Diceros bicornis minor: one gene and its partner. The protein of the gene in region 1 purifies or fractionates together with the protein of each later gene. This does not show direct contact. Links are inferred from orthologs where the notes say so. Each region holds a gene or a part of one and is shown in the gene's direction. Other genes may lie near its edges.

Region 1 (7,789 bases):
AGTCTTCCTCAGCAAAAAGAGGAGGATTAGCAGGGATGTTAGCTCAGGGGCTGATCTTTCTCACAAAAAAAAAAAAAAAAAAAGGAACATTTCATAATGATAAAACATTCAATTTCTCAGAAGACAAATTCTATAACATAGAAACACCTATAATATGGCCTCAAAATATGTTTTAGGGCCAGCCCTGGTGGCACAGCACTTAAGGTTGGCATGCTCCCCTTCGGTGGCCCAGGTTCAGTTCCCAGGCATGGACCTACACCACTCATCTGTCAGTGGCCATGCTGTGGCGGCAGTTCACATACAAAAAGAGCAAGAAGAGGAAGATTGGCAGCGGATGTTAGCTCAAGGCTAATCTTCCTCAGCAAAAAAAATATATATATATATATATAGTTTTAAAAAATGACAGAATTACAGTAGACACAAACAAATCCACAATCATTTGGGAGACATTAACACACCTTTCTTAGTAAATGAAAGAATAAGTAAGCAAAAAAAAATCAGTAATGAAGCTAGAAATTATGCAATTAAGGTAGAAATCATTAACAAAAATATAACTTAAAACTCTCATGTTTAGAAATTGAGAAAAGCCAATTCTATACAAACTCTTCCAGAAAACTGAAGAAAAAGAAATACTTCTGAACCCATTTTATGAGGCCACAATTACTCTGATACCAAAACTAGAAATTACAAGAAAAGTAAACTACAAAACAATATCCTTCATAAGCAAAGATTTTTTTTTTTTTTGTGAGGAAGATCAGCCCTGAGCTAATATCCATGCTAATCCTCCTCTTTTTGCTGAGGAAGATCGGCTCTGAGCTAACATCTATTGCCAATCCTCTTCCTTTTTTCCCCCCAAAGCCCCAGTAGATAGTTGTGTCATAGTTGCACATCCTTCTAGTTGCTGTATGTGGGACGTGGCCTCAGCATGGCCAGAGAAGCGGTGCGTCGGGGCGGGCCTGGGATCCGAACCCAGGCCGCCAGTAGCGGAGCACGCGCACTTAACCGCTAAGCCACAGGGCCAGCCCACAAAGATTTTAAATTGTTAAATTCTTAACAAAATTTTAGCAACTAAATATAGTAAGTATAAAAAGAATAATACATCAGGACCAAGGAGCACTTTTCCCAACAATGCAAGTTTAGTTTAACACTCTAAAATCAATCAATGTTAAAACTATAAAACTTCTGGAAAAAAATAGCAGAAAATCTATATAACCTTGGACTAGGCAAAGATTTCTCAGACATTACACCTAATAAATGGACTTTCTCAAAATTAAGAACTTCTGCTCTTTGAAAGACATTAAGAGAATGAACGAAGAGAAGCCACAGACTGGGAAAAAAACAACTGAGAAATAGTAAATTATGAGAATCAACTTGGTACAATATTTTCAAATAATAATTGCCACAATTTAAGTGCTTTTAATGTGCCAAGAACTGTCAAGTACTTTATATACATTGTCTATTTTAATCCTTAGAACAACCCTAAGGGGTGGGAATTATTATCCTCATTTGCCAATAAACTTAGAGAAGCTGATTGACTTGTCCCAAGGCATATAGCTGATAAGCTGCCGCGACAGAATTTGAACCCAGTTCTGTTTACTTCCAAAGTCAATGAACTCTCTTAAGCACTCCATCATACTACCTTTTTATTAAAATAATCTAAGATTGCATAACAACACGGGAAAAGTGTTAGAAACAAACTGTGGAAGAACTGGCTCTGGCCTCCAGGAGATTTACAGGCCTGTGGACTACAGATTTCACTTATCAAATTAGAAAAACAATACCTGGTATTCATAAGTATGCTTATGTGCTTGTCTTGTAAGTATAGTATTTGTGATAGAATGCTATTTATATACCATCTGGACTACCTCATGCCCCTAGATACCCCATAAACTGGTCCCATCCCTGCACTATGGAAATGAACTAGGTGAGCAACCTAGAGTGGAAAAATCCACATGCATTTTTCAGTCCCTCTGCACTGAACTGTACAAGATCTTTTCTATGGGAAACTTTCCCTCCTCGGGACGATACCCAGCAAATAGACAATATCTAAATCATAAGCATTGTTAAGTATTAACACAGAGCATGCGCTTCTGTTTTTACCCTTTTGCTTACATACAGCTTTTACAGGCATTGATTCAATAATATTTCCAACAGTCTCTGTGGTGAGTAGGTGGCAGGCACTGACCCAGGTAAGAGACAGAAATGGAGGCAGATCAGCATTAAGTGTTCACTGTTGTTTGGCTGGTGGCACAAGCAAGAAACAATCTTCTTACTCTCCAAACCCACATTCCAGATACTAAATCAAAGCTCTCTTGAGCATAAGGAAATCCTCAGACCTTGGTAAACATGTAATCTTTCCGATCTATAACTGGTGATATTCCTGATGTGTCTCAACAAGCCCCGGCTCCCATTCACAACTGGTGGTGATCTCTGTGTTCTCTGAAATCCCAGACTGTTTATTTCATTCATTCATAGTTTCATTCAACAAACACTAACTAGGACCTTCCAGGTTCCAGGGATTGTGTATTTCCTTCTATTTAAAACTATCGGTGAACTGGTTTTATCCCACTCTTAAGTTCCCTGAGGACAGAGAGATCTTACTCAACTCTTCTGTACATTGCACGAAATGCTTAAAACAATACTTTGCATTTGGTGAGTACTCAGTAAATATTTAATGACTTGAAGCTTGACCAAATTGCAATTCAATCCTACGCCAATTCCAACTGAGTCAATAAAGCAAACAAAACCATCCCATGGCATACCCCTCAGTGTCCAACCCCTCACTTCCTCCCATTTCCCATTTCTAAGTACCACCTTCCCTGCAACTATTTTTTTTTTTTTTTTTTTTTTTTTGTGAGGAGATCAGCCCTGTGCTAACATCCGCCAATCGTCCTCTTTTTTTGCTGAGGAAGACGGCCCTGGGCTAACATCTGTGCCCATCTTCCTCCACTTTATATGGGACGCCGCCACAGCATGGCTTACCAAGCAGTGCGTCGGTGCGCGCCCGGGATCCGAACCAGCGGACCCCGGGCCGCCGCAGCGGAGCGCGCGCACTTAACCGCTTGCGCCACCGGGCCGGCCCCGTCCCTGCAACTATTTTTTAAAAGGCAGAGTCCTCATTGTGGATACTGTCAGTGTCATTACACAAGTCTGAAAAACAAACACTAAAAATAACTCACTCTCCTTCTCTAATGGCTCTTATACCAGGGCATGATGGGATAATGGGAAATGCTCTGGACTAGGTACCAGGACAGAGGCTCTGGACTGCCAGTGACTTACATCAAAACTTTTATGAAATCTCAAAATCCTCTGGCCCTGTTTCCTCAGTTACAGAATAAGATGGTTTCACCTAACAAGCCCCTTTAGAAATAAAATTTTACCATCTGGAATGACTCATAAAAGATGAAATGCATCCAAGGGTAAGCTTTGTTTAGGCTAAAATACAAAATACTAACTCAAAAGGTAGAACCGGAGATTAATATTAAATGTTTTACTGTTACTTCTCCTGGACTAAGTTATTTCTTTTCTTGTCATTTATCATAAAGAGTCTGGTATTATTAATTTGTATGTGTTATTCTCATCTACCCAGATTACAAATTCCTTCAAAGAAGGAACTGCACTGTCCCTTGCAAAGAGGTGGGATCTAAATAAAACACTGTTGGTATTTTTACTCTGGGTACCAACTCTGCACACTTCCGGATTGGCTCATGTAACTTGCAGACACACGAGGAATCCCTGCTTCCACGCATGCTGTCCTTCCTTTGCCAAGGTGCTGTCTCTGAGAGGGGGTAATTAATTTAAAATGCTCTTTCTGCTCTCTCAATGTGTCCTCGATGTCCCTGGGACCAAAGACTTTGTAGCCACGGGACAAAGCAAAACCAATTACTTCCAGTGCATGCGTGCTCCCGAACAAGAGGATTAACCAGCCCCAGAGAACATAGTGAGGCTCTGACACTTGGAATTTGACACGTTCACTTCTGTGAACATCACCTTACAGCCAAGCATTGGGGTCAAACTTGTAAACCACCACAGGGAACCATACAGACACTTGGTGGGCGACCTGCTGTGGCCCCGAGGACAGGAGTGCTGCTCCAGAATTTCTGTGGGTTCAAGGGCGGCAGGTCTAGCCGCAAGTGGGGTTCAGAGCATTTCCTTGAAGGGCGACAGGTCTAGCCGCAAGTGGGGTTCAGAGCATTTCCTTGAAGCCGCATCTGCACAGGAAGCTGTCTTCACGTGTTTGGGGGGAGATGCTGAATTCTCCCAATTCCTCTGTCCTGTGGCGCTATCTTGGGAGCAGGAAACAAGTGACTGAGGAAGGGTCGCGAAAGTTCCTCGGAGAGGGCTTTGCACAGGAGACTGGCTCTGACGGGGGTGTCTCTGAAGGGGGAAACACGTAGTCGTTCGTCGGGTTCGTGTGGCGCGAAATGCGTCATATAGTAATTCTCAATTCTCAGTAATTCATTTCCCGACAAAAGCACTCGCGAAAGCGCCAAGGCTCCACACTTCGCTCCGCCAGTCTGAGGAAATTTTTCGAGGACCGGAGTAAGACGTTCACGCTGTCTCGTCACCATTCCCCAGCCGTTTTACGACACCGCTTCAGAAAGGCCACCGCGGCCGCTCACAGGCCCGACCCTGACCCGCCGCACCCGCTCGGGACCCCTGCCGCACGACCGATCAGTGCGCGTGCGCGGACCGCCCGCGCCGCCGCGCTGCGCAGGCGCCGTGGCCATTTCCGGGATCTGTCAGCCGCTCCCTCTGAGCCTCGGTCCTCCGCCCGCGCCCGCCGGAGCCTGTTCGCGTCGACTGACCAGAGTCCGCGAATTCTCCGCTCCGAGCCCGTCCGGACTGCCCCGACCCCAGGTAAGGGGCAACAGGGGCGAGCTTCTGGCTCTGCTGGCCTCCACTGCCCCGGCCTCGACCCCGCGGGGGCGGGAAGGCGGGGGTTTAGGCCGCGGGGCCCGAGGCTGAGGGGCGGGCCGGGTCTCCTTGCCCGGCCTCCCGGAGGGGCGGGGATCCGTGTTCTCCGTGGGGCCTGGCGAGCCCCTGGGATCCCCTTGAGGGATCGCTTCTCCCAAGATTTTCAAGCTCCAAGCCTCCTCCCGTGCCAGAATTAACGACTCCTGCTGCGCTTCTATTGCCCTATTTGCATCTCTATTGTGGGCATTTATCACAATCTGTAAAATTGTGGTAAATGGGATCCTCTGCCCTCTATCGAGCGTCACGAGGGACCGTTCATTCCTTTTTTTAGCGTCTAGGAGAGGTCCCTGCACACAGTCGTCGCCCGTGGAATGTTTGGCTCCTGTCTGGGGCAGCCCCCAATCCTTCAGCTGCCGGGTGGACCCTCCCGAACTCGAGAAAAACCTTCCCCCGAGTTCTTTAAGATTCCCCCGCTCCGGTGCCTCCTTCCCTTAAGTCAGAATTGCACATATTCGCTCCTCCTCGCTCCTTGTCTCTAAGGAACCTTTTATATGGCACCTTGCACATTCCAGCCCTCCCGTCCCACTGCGGCAGTTACAATCCTGGCACCACCACTTGGTTGGGTGACCCTGGGAAGATTGCTTCTCTGAATCCCTGTTTCCTCATCTGCAGTAAGAAGATTCTTAGGGCTTTTCTGAGGATCAAGTGAGTTTATTTGCATAAATTGCTTAGAAGAGTTCCTAGTCCAGAGTAGGTGCTCAATAAGTATTAGCTATTATTACTGCTTCTGGGCATTCTATGCATGTCTCTCGTCCCTTCCTCCCCTACACTCTTCTTCCAGACTTAAGGACCAGAAAAGTGTCAGATTTATTTATGTTTCTGGCCCCAACCCAATACTTACTACACTGCTTAGATCTTTGATTATAAAGCCATGTGTTCTCATACTGCAGCTTTGGAACCTGAAGGAAATGCTAACCGATTTTCACCTACCTCAACTCATTGCCTAAGTTACCTAAACTATCCTAGTTCTGCTCTCTTTTGTTAATTTTATCTAACCTCTTGTTTTCACGTAGGCCCTGGGTTTTTCAGGTATCAAAAAAACAGAGACTCTATCAGTCAGGAAGGTGTTTTTAGGCTATTTGGGAGAGGGTGTAAAGCTGCTTCCTACAACAAAGTATTCGGAGAACTTCCAAGGTTAATTCATTTACTTATGACGATTAAAAGAAGGGATCATCTTGGAAAATTAAAACTCCTGCTTGGAGGGAGAGTGGCAGTGTTTTGATCTAGTTGACTAACCTGTGCTGAAACAAATTCTGCATAAAGAAGTTTAAAATGGTCTGCTGGTGAGGCTGGTGCCTGGAATTGGAATCTGTCTCTGGACGTTGTGGAGGGTGTGGTGACCTTGTTGGAGTACCTGGTATTGCTGGGTTGGGTAGTGAGAGCAATTAGAAACTGGGTGAATCACGTCTTGAAAACTGAAATTCCCACTGTACAAATACTTTCAAGCACCAGGGCCAAGAATTTAAAGCATATGTGGATGTTTCCGTGTTTGGAGGATGCTAACTGATGTGTACTTCCAGGGATAGTTCAAAAGCCTGGGGTCAGATGAAGAAAGGGAACTAACTTCTTGAGCATCTATTTTGGGCTAGGCTTTGTGCTACATGCTTTCGCTTGTTATCTCATTTAATCCTCCTCCCTACAGCTTTCGGATGTCAGTGATATGTCCATTTTACAGATGATGAAACGAGATTTAGAGGTACTGAGTGACCTGCCTGGGGTCTCATAGGTAGTATGTGTCAAAGTCAAGATTCAAACCCACGTCCCCTTGGCTTCAGAACCCATGGCTAACCAAACATCAGAATGACTCTGTACTCAAAGTGATAGGTAAAGAAAGGAGGTGGGGGGTGGCAGTGTTCCAGGGGTCATACTGTGCTATAAATCATTATCTCTGTCAGTGCTAGACAATAAAAGGTCATCAATAGAAGATTGTTAAATTTCACGTCACTACCTTTTTGTCTGTCCTTTTTTTTCTTCTCTACCTTCATTAAGACAAAGGTTTTCAGATTCCACTTAAATATTAATCACAGCTTAGAAATTATAATTATCACCCTACGACAGAAGGCATCTTTTCTTGGTACAAAATTCAAGCTGCTATTATTCTTTTGCTTTCACTGAGTTTGATGAATACAGTCTGTGTGTACTGGGCGCCCTATAAATTTGACAAACGTGAATGTTGTCTTGGTCTACAGACTCAGAATAGCCACATGATTATAAAAGAAGTGTAAGTCTGAGTGTATGTCCAAATATAGAACTTGAATGGTATAACAAAATTAGAAATGCAATTTTAGAAGTAATTATGCCATTGTGTAAATGTTTACCTCTTTTGAAGTCTTTGCTATATTGCTTATAAAACTGAGTTGAAGAGTGAGAAAGCCTTTGTCTGCAGCACATGAAATATGTGCTTTTATTGCATGCAGATATTCACATTAAATTATTAATTTGCAGGCCAATTTTGTTTCAGTTAGCAAATGAACCTATAAAATGTGGCTTTTGAACTAAATTGCTTTTACTTAAGGAGCTATCTGTTACACAACATGTTATTTTGAGGAACTATGAGTAAAACCTGTTGTGGTAGGTAAGCATCTGATATCAGGGATAAAGAGAGAATTATGATACGGTAGCATCAGGAAGCTTATTTTTTAAAAAACAAATTAAGCAGTCTCATTTGAATTCATTTAAAGTTTTTTTTAAATTTCCAATGAGAGGCTTTTTCTTTATTTTTGAGTTGCAATTTGCATTCTAGAACACGTAAAAGTAAAAAATTAATGACCTAAGTAACTTCACTCTTAGAATAGAATGTGAAACACTGACA
Region 2 (7,709 bases), on another chromosome or scaffold:
GAAAAAAGAAAAAAATGTTGATTATAATATTTTGCTTAAATAGTTAATAGTAGTAATGAGAAAAGTAATATGCCCATGGTCATGGAAAATATTAGAGTAATTATAAGAAAATATTTTGTGCAACTTCTTGCCAATAAATGGGCAGTCTAGAAGAAATGCAAGTCAATAACCACAGAAGATAGACAAAGATTATCAAAGATCTACCTCTAAAAATATGAGCAAACCCAGATAATTTTGCAAGCACATTCTGTAACTTTCAAAGAAAAAATAGCATGGTAATTTTCTATTATTCAAACTATTCTAGAGCATAGAAAAAAAGATGGAAATCTTCTCAATTCATCTTACAAAGCTAGACTAACCTTAGTATCAAAACCGGATAAAGATAGCACAAAGAAATAAAACTATGGACCAATCTTACTAAGAAATACAGATTCTGAAATCATGTAAACAAAATATAAGTTAATAAAATCTAGCAAGTAATTAAAATAGTAACCAAATAGAGTTTATTCTAGAAATGTGGGAAGGGTTCAGTGCAGAAAACTATATAAATATAATTCATTACATTCATAAATTAGAAGATCAAAAACTATATGATTTTTATCATTAGATCCCCAAAAAAGACATTTGATAATTTTAGCAGTCATTCCTAAAGATCATAAAGCAATAGGAAATATAAACTAGTGAAATACCAAAGATATTTCCATCAAAATAGAAACAAAGAACAGAAGCCTACTATCACTCAATTTTTCAACACTGTTTTTGAGAATCTAGCTAATGCAGTAAAATAAGGAAAATAAATAAAAATGATATAATATTAGAAAAGAAGATGTAAATTATCATTATCTCAGACATTATGATTATATATTGTGACAAGAAAGGTAACCTTAAAACAACTGTTAGCATTAATAAGAGATCCCAATAATGGGAAAGAATACAGGATAAGTAAATTTTAAAATCCATAGCTTCCCTTTATATTATCATTAGCAGGTAAAAAAACTAAGTAGAAAAAGAGTCTCACTCACAACAATGTTTAAAAAACAAGGTTTATTCTTTCATTTAGCACTAAACTTTCTTCCTGAGACAAGAGTACAGATTAAACTTGTTTTTAATCTTTGAAGTACTAACATATAAATAAATAAAGGTTTCATTGTAAAATAGTTCACCCTACCTACTCTACTTCAGGGTGTAATCATAAAGTTATATAAAGGTAAAATTAATCACAAAGAAAAAATTTGAAGTTTTGAAGGTTGGTGGTTTCAACACAGAATCACTTGATCTGGATATTAAGTAGGAGCATTAAAACCATACTATAGTCCATAGGTAACATGCTAAAAAATCTTTTTATATCGTAGTAATTATGTTGCTAGAGAACAGTGGTATTAAATCATCATTACCACAACTGAAATTTATATATTTATTTTATATTTAAAATACCTATTTGACATATTTGATTAACACTGGGTTCACTTCCACTTCAAATAATAAAAACAATAGTGCTATGCTGCAGGATTCAATGTCTTGGTTTAAGTATTTAGTGGCAAGTCTGGGGAAAAGAAGCACATAGTAGGTAGAGTATTTAGTTTAAAATATCTGAAAAGAAAGACCTATTATAGGATAGTTTTATCAAAATCCTTTCTCACCAAAAAGATCCTTCACTCTTTGCATCATCACAGAAAAGAAGAAGCTACATACTACCATGCAGCATTAACCTTGAGAAAATTCAGATTCAGTCGTACTTTAGAATTGAATGAAACCAGGTTATTTGCACAATAAATAAGACGACTTAAAACCTTATGTATCCTTTATTTCAGGGATAAGCACTCACTTGGAAAATTAAAATAGGAAGAATAATATTACCTAAATGAATTAAGTACCACGATTAACACTAAAAATTTGGAATTTGCAAGAAAGTGGAATAATGTGTATTTTCTAATTAAAAGATAATCAAGGACAGGTTTCTCCACATGCACACACACAAATTTCCCTAATGCTCTATAAAGATTTTAACTTTAGCTAATGGGGGTAAGGAGGTCATTAGTGTGTCTATTAAAAAAATACTCAATCTCTAAATATGATTCCAAAGTTAACTGTCCAGATTATTAATTTATTGGATAGAAACATGTTGAGTACCTACTATTTACTAGGTACTTATTGTGAGACAATAAAAAATACTGCAATTGCAAAAGGACATTTTTGACATTATTACATCTCAAATGTAATACGCGTTGTGTGGCTGAGAATTAACTAATTATACTTAAAGCAAAATTCTGAGCAATTGAAACAATTATGCCCTTGAGCAACTCAATGTTTTAAATTCCCCTCATTATTCCCTTAAGTTGATTTCTACCCTGAGATTCTTTCCCAGTTCTAAAAGAAGAGAATAAAGAAATTTCCTAAATAAGACCTAACACAAAAGAATAGAAATGGAAGGGAAGGGATGTATTAGCTCTTGAATCCTTGTTTCCATTTGCTCTCAATAGTGCTTCTAATGTTCAATTTTCTCTTCAAAGAAAATATCGATTAGAAGAACAAAAAGTATAATCATCTTTAGCACCTAAACAAGTATATTGCTTAGCTCTTACTAAAGTTAGCAGAAGATTGAAAGTGAGAAAAAAATATTAAGACCAATCTTTATTGTAAGTTATATAATGCCATTCACCATAGTAATGATCTGATGCTTTGCTATATGACTTTTTAAAATAAATATTACCAACAGGTAGAAAATTTTCCTTTGCTGTCTTAAGACAGCCCTTAGGGGAGTTTTTACCAGTGTGTCTACTCATAACTTGAATGTTAATTTAAAGAAATGTCACTTCTATCACCTAATGATATATCTTCTAGAAGGGTGATTTAATTGGGAAAAGAAATATGCCATATTGCTTCTTCCTCCTAAAAAAAAAGGATGGATTCCATTCCTGAGGGGTCTCTCTCTCTCTCTGTGCATACATATGTATACATATTGATATACATATAGATATACATATATACATATGTATGCAAATGTGTCCAACAAAGGTTTGGTTTTGAGATCTCTCTTCCTTTTCTTACTGATTTATTATTCTCAGGGTGACTCAAACTGTACTGCTTTTCACATTTTCTTCATTCACCAATGAATAATTGAGTATGTGAATGTATTGAGTACCTTCTACATGCTTAGCTTTATGTCAGATGAAAAGGAAGATACCAGGAAAAAAAAAAATGACAGTCTCTGCCCTCCAGCACCTTTCGATCTCTTCCAGGGGCAAGATGAGACACGATATATCATTAAGTAATTTATAAGACTAGTGCCAAAATCAATGGTACAGGTAACATGCATTTTAGATTTATGTAGAATTTTAGAGCTTCAAAACACTTTCTTGTATTTAATCCTCAGAACAATCTTATGAACTACACATTATTAGCCCCAATTTAGCAATGAGGAATCTGAGGTTTAGAATTTTAAGTGGCATGCCTCAATCAAATAGATTATGAGCGGAAGAGTCAAGACTCAAGCACAGGAAACCAAGGATTGGGATACCTAACAGGGCAACAGCTGGCCTTCTGCTAGAGGTGGAATTAAACTAGACCTGATCAGACGGTAGGAAAACGTAAAGCCATCTGAGCAGTGTCCAGCCAAATGTCCAAATTAATTTTATTCTGCAAATATTTGTACTTCAGTGTTATTCCCACAGCACAAGTACCATTTCCTTAGTTTTAGTGCCTTGACTTCCTCAAGAGCTTTGCTCTCAGAAATAGGGATGTCAAATATAATTTATAAAACTGGCCTAGCGGGATCATATATCTTAAAGGTCTTAATCACAAATATAAATCTTAAAGGTCTGATTTCTACTACTCCTTACACATTTTGTTTCCCCTCAGCGCCGGAGAGCATAACTCGACCCTACCCTTTTCTAGCATTCTTGCTCCAAACAACCACTTATTTTAAGATGTCAATGATTGACCCTATCCCAAATTCCACAGGTTCGCCCCAGTTTTGCCAGCCGACCCCAAGCCCTGCCCAGACACATCCCCCTCCCTCCCAATGGATATGATACCTAGTTCAGATTCTGCAGGTGCCTCATGATGCTTGTCACACAGCACTGACAGATAAGATATGACCTTTCGACTCCGTCCTTGGGGACCTCCCGCTGGCCCCGCAGCGTAGTTCCAACCCCAGGAAAGGGGCTCCCGGCTCGGGAACGCAGCCGCCGGCAGCGCACGGTCCGAAGCGATGTCTCTGACAACTAGAACGATGCTGGACGCTCGGGCGTGCATCACTCCGCCCCATACTCCTGCCAACTGCAGCGGACTTGGTCCGGCAACCAGTCCATCCCACCCCACAGGCAAGTCGGGGCCGACCGGCCCTTACGCAGGACCCCGATGACAGGGCGTTGGCGGCGGCGGCAGCAGCAAAAGCCAAGGCCACCCGCCCCCAGTGCCCATCGCCGCCAATCTAAGACCCCCTAGACTGGACCGCAGAGAAGCGTTTCTATGGAAACCCCCCAGGGATCACGTGACGACGCGGACGACCAATCGTCTCTTACCTCCGCTCGCGGCACCGCTTTCTGCTCGCCCTCCAGCCCCGCCCCCTCCCGCCCCCGCTTCCATTGCCCAGCCCCGCCCCTTTCCTGCGGAGACTCCGCGCTTGCGTACTGCGTCCAGCGCGCTCCCTCCCTCGCGCGGCTCCCCGGGGAGAGTGAAGGCGCCGTAGGAGACTGGAAGAGAGCGCGAGCCTGAGGAGGAAGGAGCGCGGCGTGCGCGCAGGCCCAGAACCGCCGAGCCTTGGCTGCCGGCAACGCCCCAGAGCGGAAGAGGGAAGTGGAGGCGTCAGGCTGTGGGTTCCTAGCAGGGTGGGCTTGCTGAAGTAGAGGCAGCGCCGAGAGGAGGCCTTTGCCACCGGTCCGGATCGCGATGTCGAAGAACACGGTGTCGTCGGCCCGGTTCCGGAAGGTGGACGTGGATGAGTACGACGAGAACAAGTTCGTGGACGAGGAAGACGGGGGCGATGGGCAGGCCGGGCCCGACGAGGGCGAGGTGGACTCCTGCCTGCGGCAATATCCTTGCGTTCCCGCCTCCCCACCCTTCCCGGCCCTTCTCCCGGGACCCCGCCGCCTGCAGGGGGTGAGGAGGACGGGCGCTTCCCGGGGGCCCGCCGCTTGAACCTGTCTCTTTGGGGTCCCCCATTCCAGGAGGGCAGGGGGCTCTCCCATTTCTAACCGAGTAGCCCCGAGACCCCAGGGTCCAGCCCTCGGAAAGGTGCCCTTGCCCGCGCGCCTTCCACGCCGCGATTCCTCAGGTTGCGCCCGGAGTTCCTGCCTCCCGGGAGCTGGCTCCGCCGGCCGCGCCCGCGAGCGCTGGGGCGGGCATCTGTGCTGGTCAGTGCGCTGTTGCAGGGCGCCTGAGTTTTCCGCCCCAGAACGGTGTTTACTGGGGTCACATTCGCTCCAGAAATTTCTGATTGGGAAGAACGGACGTCTTTCCTTAGGATTTTGTTTTTGTTGTAGTTTTGTTTTGGTAGCGTTAGGATAGTTCATTTATTGCCGGGGGACATGGGTTCGGTTTGCAAAATTGAGGCCGTCTGTCCTTCCGGCCCGTGGGCTCTATTTTTTTTTTTTTTTTTTAAAGAGAAAGGGATTTGGTAAAATACGGGTTGCACAGTATTTGTTAACGGGAGATCAGGAGTGAGTACAAAACAACCAAAACTCCCGTGAAGTAAGCTTGGAGCCTTTACCTGCTAAGCAAAGGACAATAGAAGACGGGGAATGCGTGTGAAGAATCCTTGGAAATATTTAAAATAAAGCCCAATGAATAAAATAGAAGATGAGTCATTTGTACAGAGCAGAATCATTTTTGTAATCCTGAAGTGGTTTCCATTTTAGTTAAAATGTGGCTGTCAGTTCCTGGTTTTTGTTTTTGCATATTTGCATATTCATAAGTTTGAGTGATCATTTGCATCAGATCTTTTTTAGAAAAATGTAAATGTGGCAATAACCAAAGCTGTAGTTTTAGAGATCTTCAATTACTGAATTCACTCATTTCTAATTATTCTTGGGTGTATTCATAAGATAAGGAAGGCTTTTTAGAGTCTTTGCTCATCAATGGGGAAGTATATGAGTGGAAATAACTTGGTAGCAACTATATCTGGTCTTAAAGGCACCTAAAATACAGCACTAAATATGTCAACATACAGATGTTCTTTTGATTGCCACAACTTTCACAATCAGCTGTTGCTGTTTTGCATCATTTAAGCAGTTAAGTGTTTTGGGTCTTAAAAGTGAGCCAGTCTACAAAAGGCATGCGTCTCTAGAAGTTCATTAAGCCTTGAAAAGAGCGACTTACCACCAACCATAGGTTTTTTTGTGAGACCTTTTTCTTCAGAACATATGTGATAAACATTATTCTGTCTAAAAACATTCTTTGATGGATAAATGATGTTTTGTGAAGCTAACTTAGGTGATATGTGATGACTTTTAGATAGTACTGCTGTGTCGGTATAGTGGATCTGCTTTTTAAACAGTTCATCTTAAAATATAAAGATATTGTCTCTTCTACTCTTGTTACAAGAAGAGACAAACCCTGGTCAGGCACTACAGATGGAGGAACAAATGAACTCTGTGTGGTTTTCCTTTTAGGGAAATGACTGTACATTCTGACAGTCTGATTGGCCTTCTGTGTCTCATACTTGCTAGCTCACTGGTGCTTTCAAAGAGAGACTAAATTTAATAAGTATGGCCTGAGACAGTTTGAATAACCTTTATGAAATATGAGAGAAAATATCCAAAACAGAAAAATCAAGTTGCCATCTAAGGGCCATTGAATGATTATATCTTCCACAATATTGATAGGTTGCTAATATATATTATTCAGATTGCTAGAGTAATCTACCGGCATTTCAATTCATATAGAATATAGTTCTAGTAAAAGTTTTGCCTTTATTTTTCTAGGTAGAATCACATAAAAAGACATTTTGGTTAAGGATAGGCTGTTTCATTTTGGGGCCTAATAATTCTGATAGATGTTTTAGAGTTTTTTAAATATCACTCTAGATAATGTTTGCATATGTGTCTTACTAGAAAATGAAAGGTTGGGGCAGACCCCGTGGCGTAGCGGTTAAGTGCATGCGCTCTGCTACTGGCAGCCCGGGTTCGGATCCTGGGCGCGCATCCACGCACCGCTTTGTCAAGCCGTGCTCTGGTGGTGTCCCATATAAAGTGGAGGAAGATGGGCACAGATGTTAGCCCAGGGCCAGTCTTCCTCAGCAAAAAATAAAAGAGGAGGATGGGCATGAATGTTAGCTCAGGGCTGATCTTCCTCAAAAAAAATTAAAATAAAACTCATTATATAAATAAAAAAAAGAAAATGAAAGGTTATCAAGGTGTTCATCTAATAGAACCACGAATGAAACGGTCTTTGCTTTATTAAAAAACTCTAATGTTCTCTTTCTGTTTTCAGTATTTTGAGTGACATCCTTGAAACCAACATGTTGAATTTTCCAATATTGAACATAGTGACCATAGGAATTTTTCTTTCTGTGCGTAAAGTCAAGTCTTAAGAACCAGTGGTTCCTGGTAGTTATGATGCTTTCCTGAGGCCTGACCTTTGCTGCTATCCTTAACCTCCATCACAGGAAACATGACGGCTGCCCTACAGGCAGCTCTGAAAAACCCCCCTATCAACACCAAGAGTCAGGCGGTGAAGGTGAGTCACGGACAGCACAGTGATCTCTGCTG

What was found. The genes of interacting proteins can lie anywhere in the genome.
Region 2: the proteins of ARPC1A (region 1) and ARPC5 fractionate together in Homo sapiens (co-fractionation; 8 studies listed by BioGRID and IntAct, counting the BioPlex papers as one, with this or other methods). This does not show direct contact. The link is inferred for Diceros bicornis minor from reciprocal best matches to the Homo sapiens genes ARPC1A and ARPC5.

What each region holds. Positions count from the first base shown.
Region 1 is NC_080765.1:7,346,700-7,354,488, reverse strand, and holds the start of ARPC1A (actin-related protein 2/3 complex subunit 1A), read left to right. Parts: upstream 1-4,770; 5' UTR 4,771-4,860; intron 4,861-7,789. UniProt on the Homo sapiens protein: Probably functions as a component of the Arp2/3 complex which is involved in regulation of actin polymerization and together with an activating nucleation-promoting factor (NPF) mediates the formation of branched actin networks.
Region 2 is NC_080743.1:83,822,323-83,830,031, forward strand, and holds the start of ARPC5 (actin-related protein 2/3 complex subunit 5), read left to right. Parts: upstream 1-4,693; 5' UTR 4,694-4,890; coding exon 4,891-5,033; intron 5,034-7,604; coding exon 7,605-7,677; intron 7,678-7,709. UniProt on the Homo sapiens protein: Component of the Arp2/3 complex, a multiprotein complex that mediates actin polymerization upon stimulation by nucleation-promoting factor (NPF).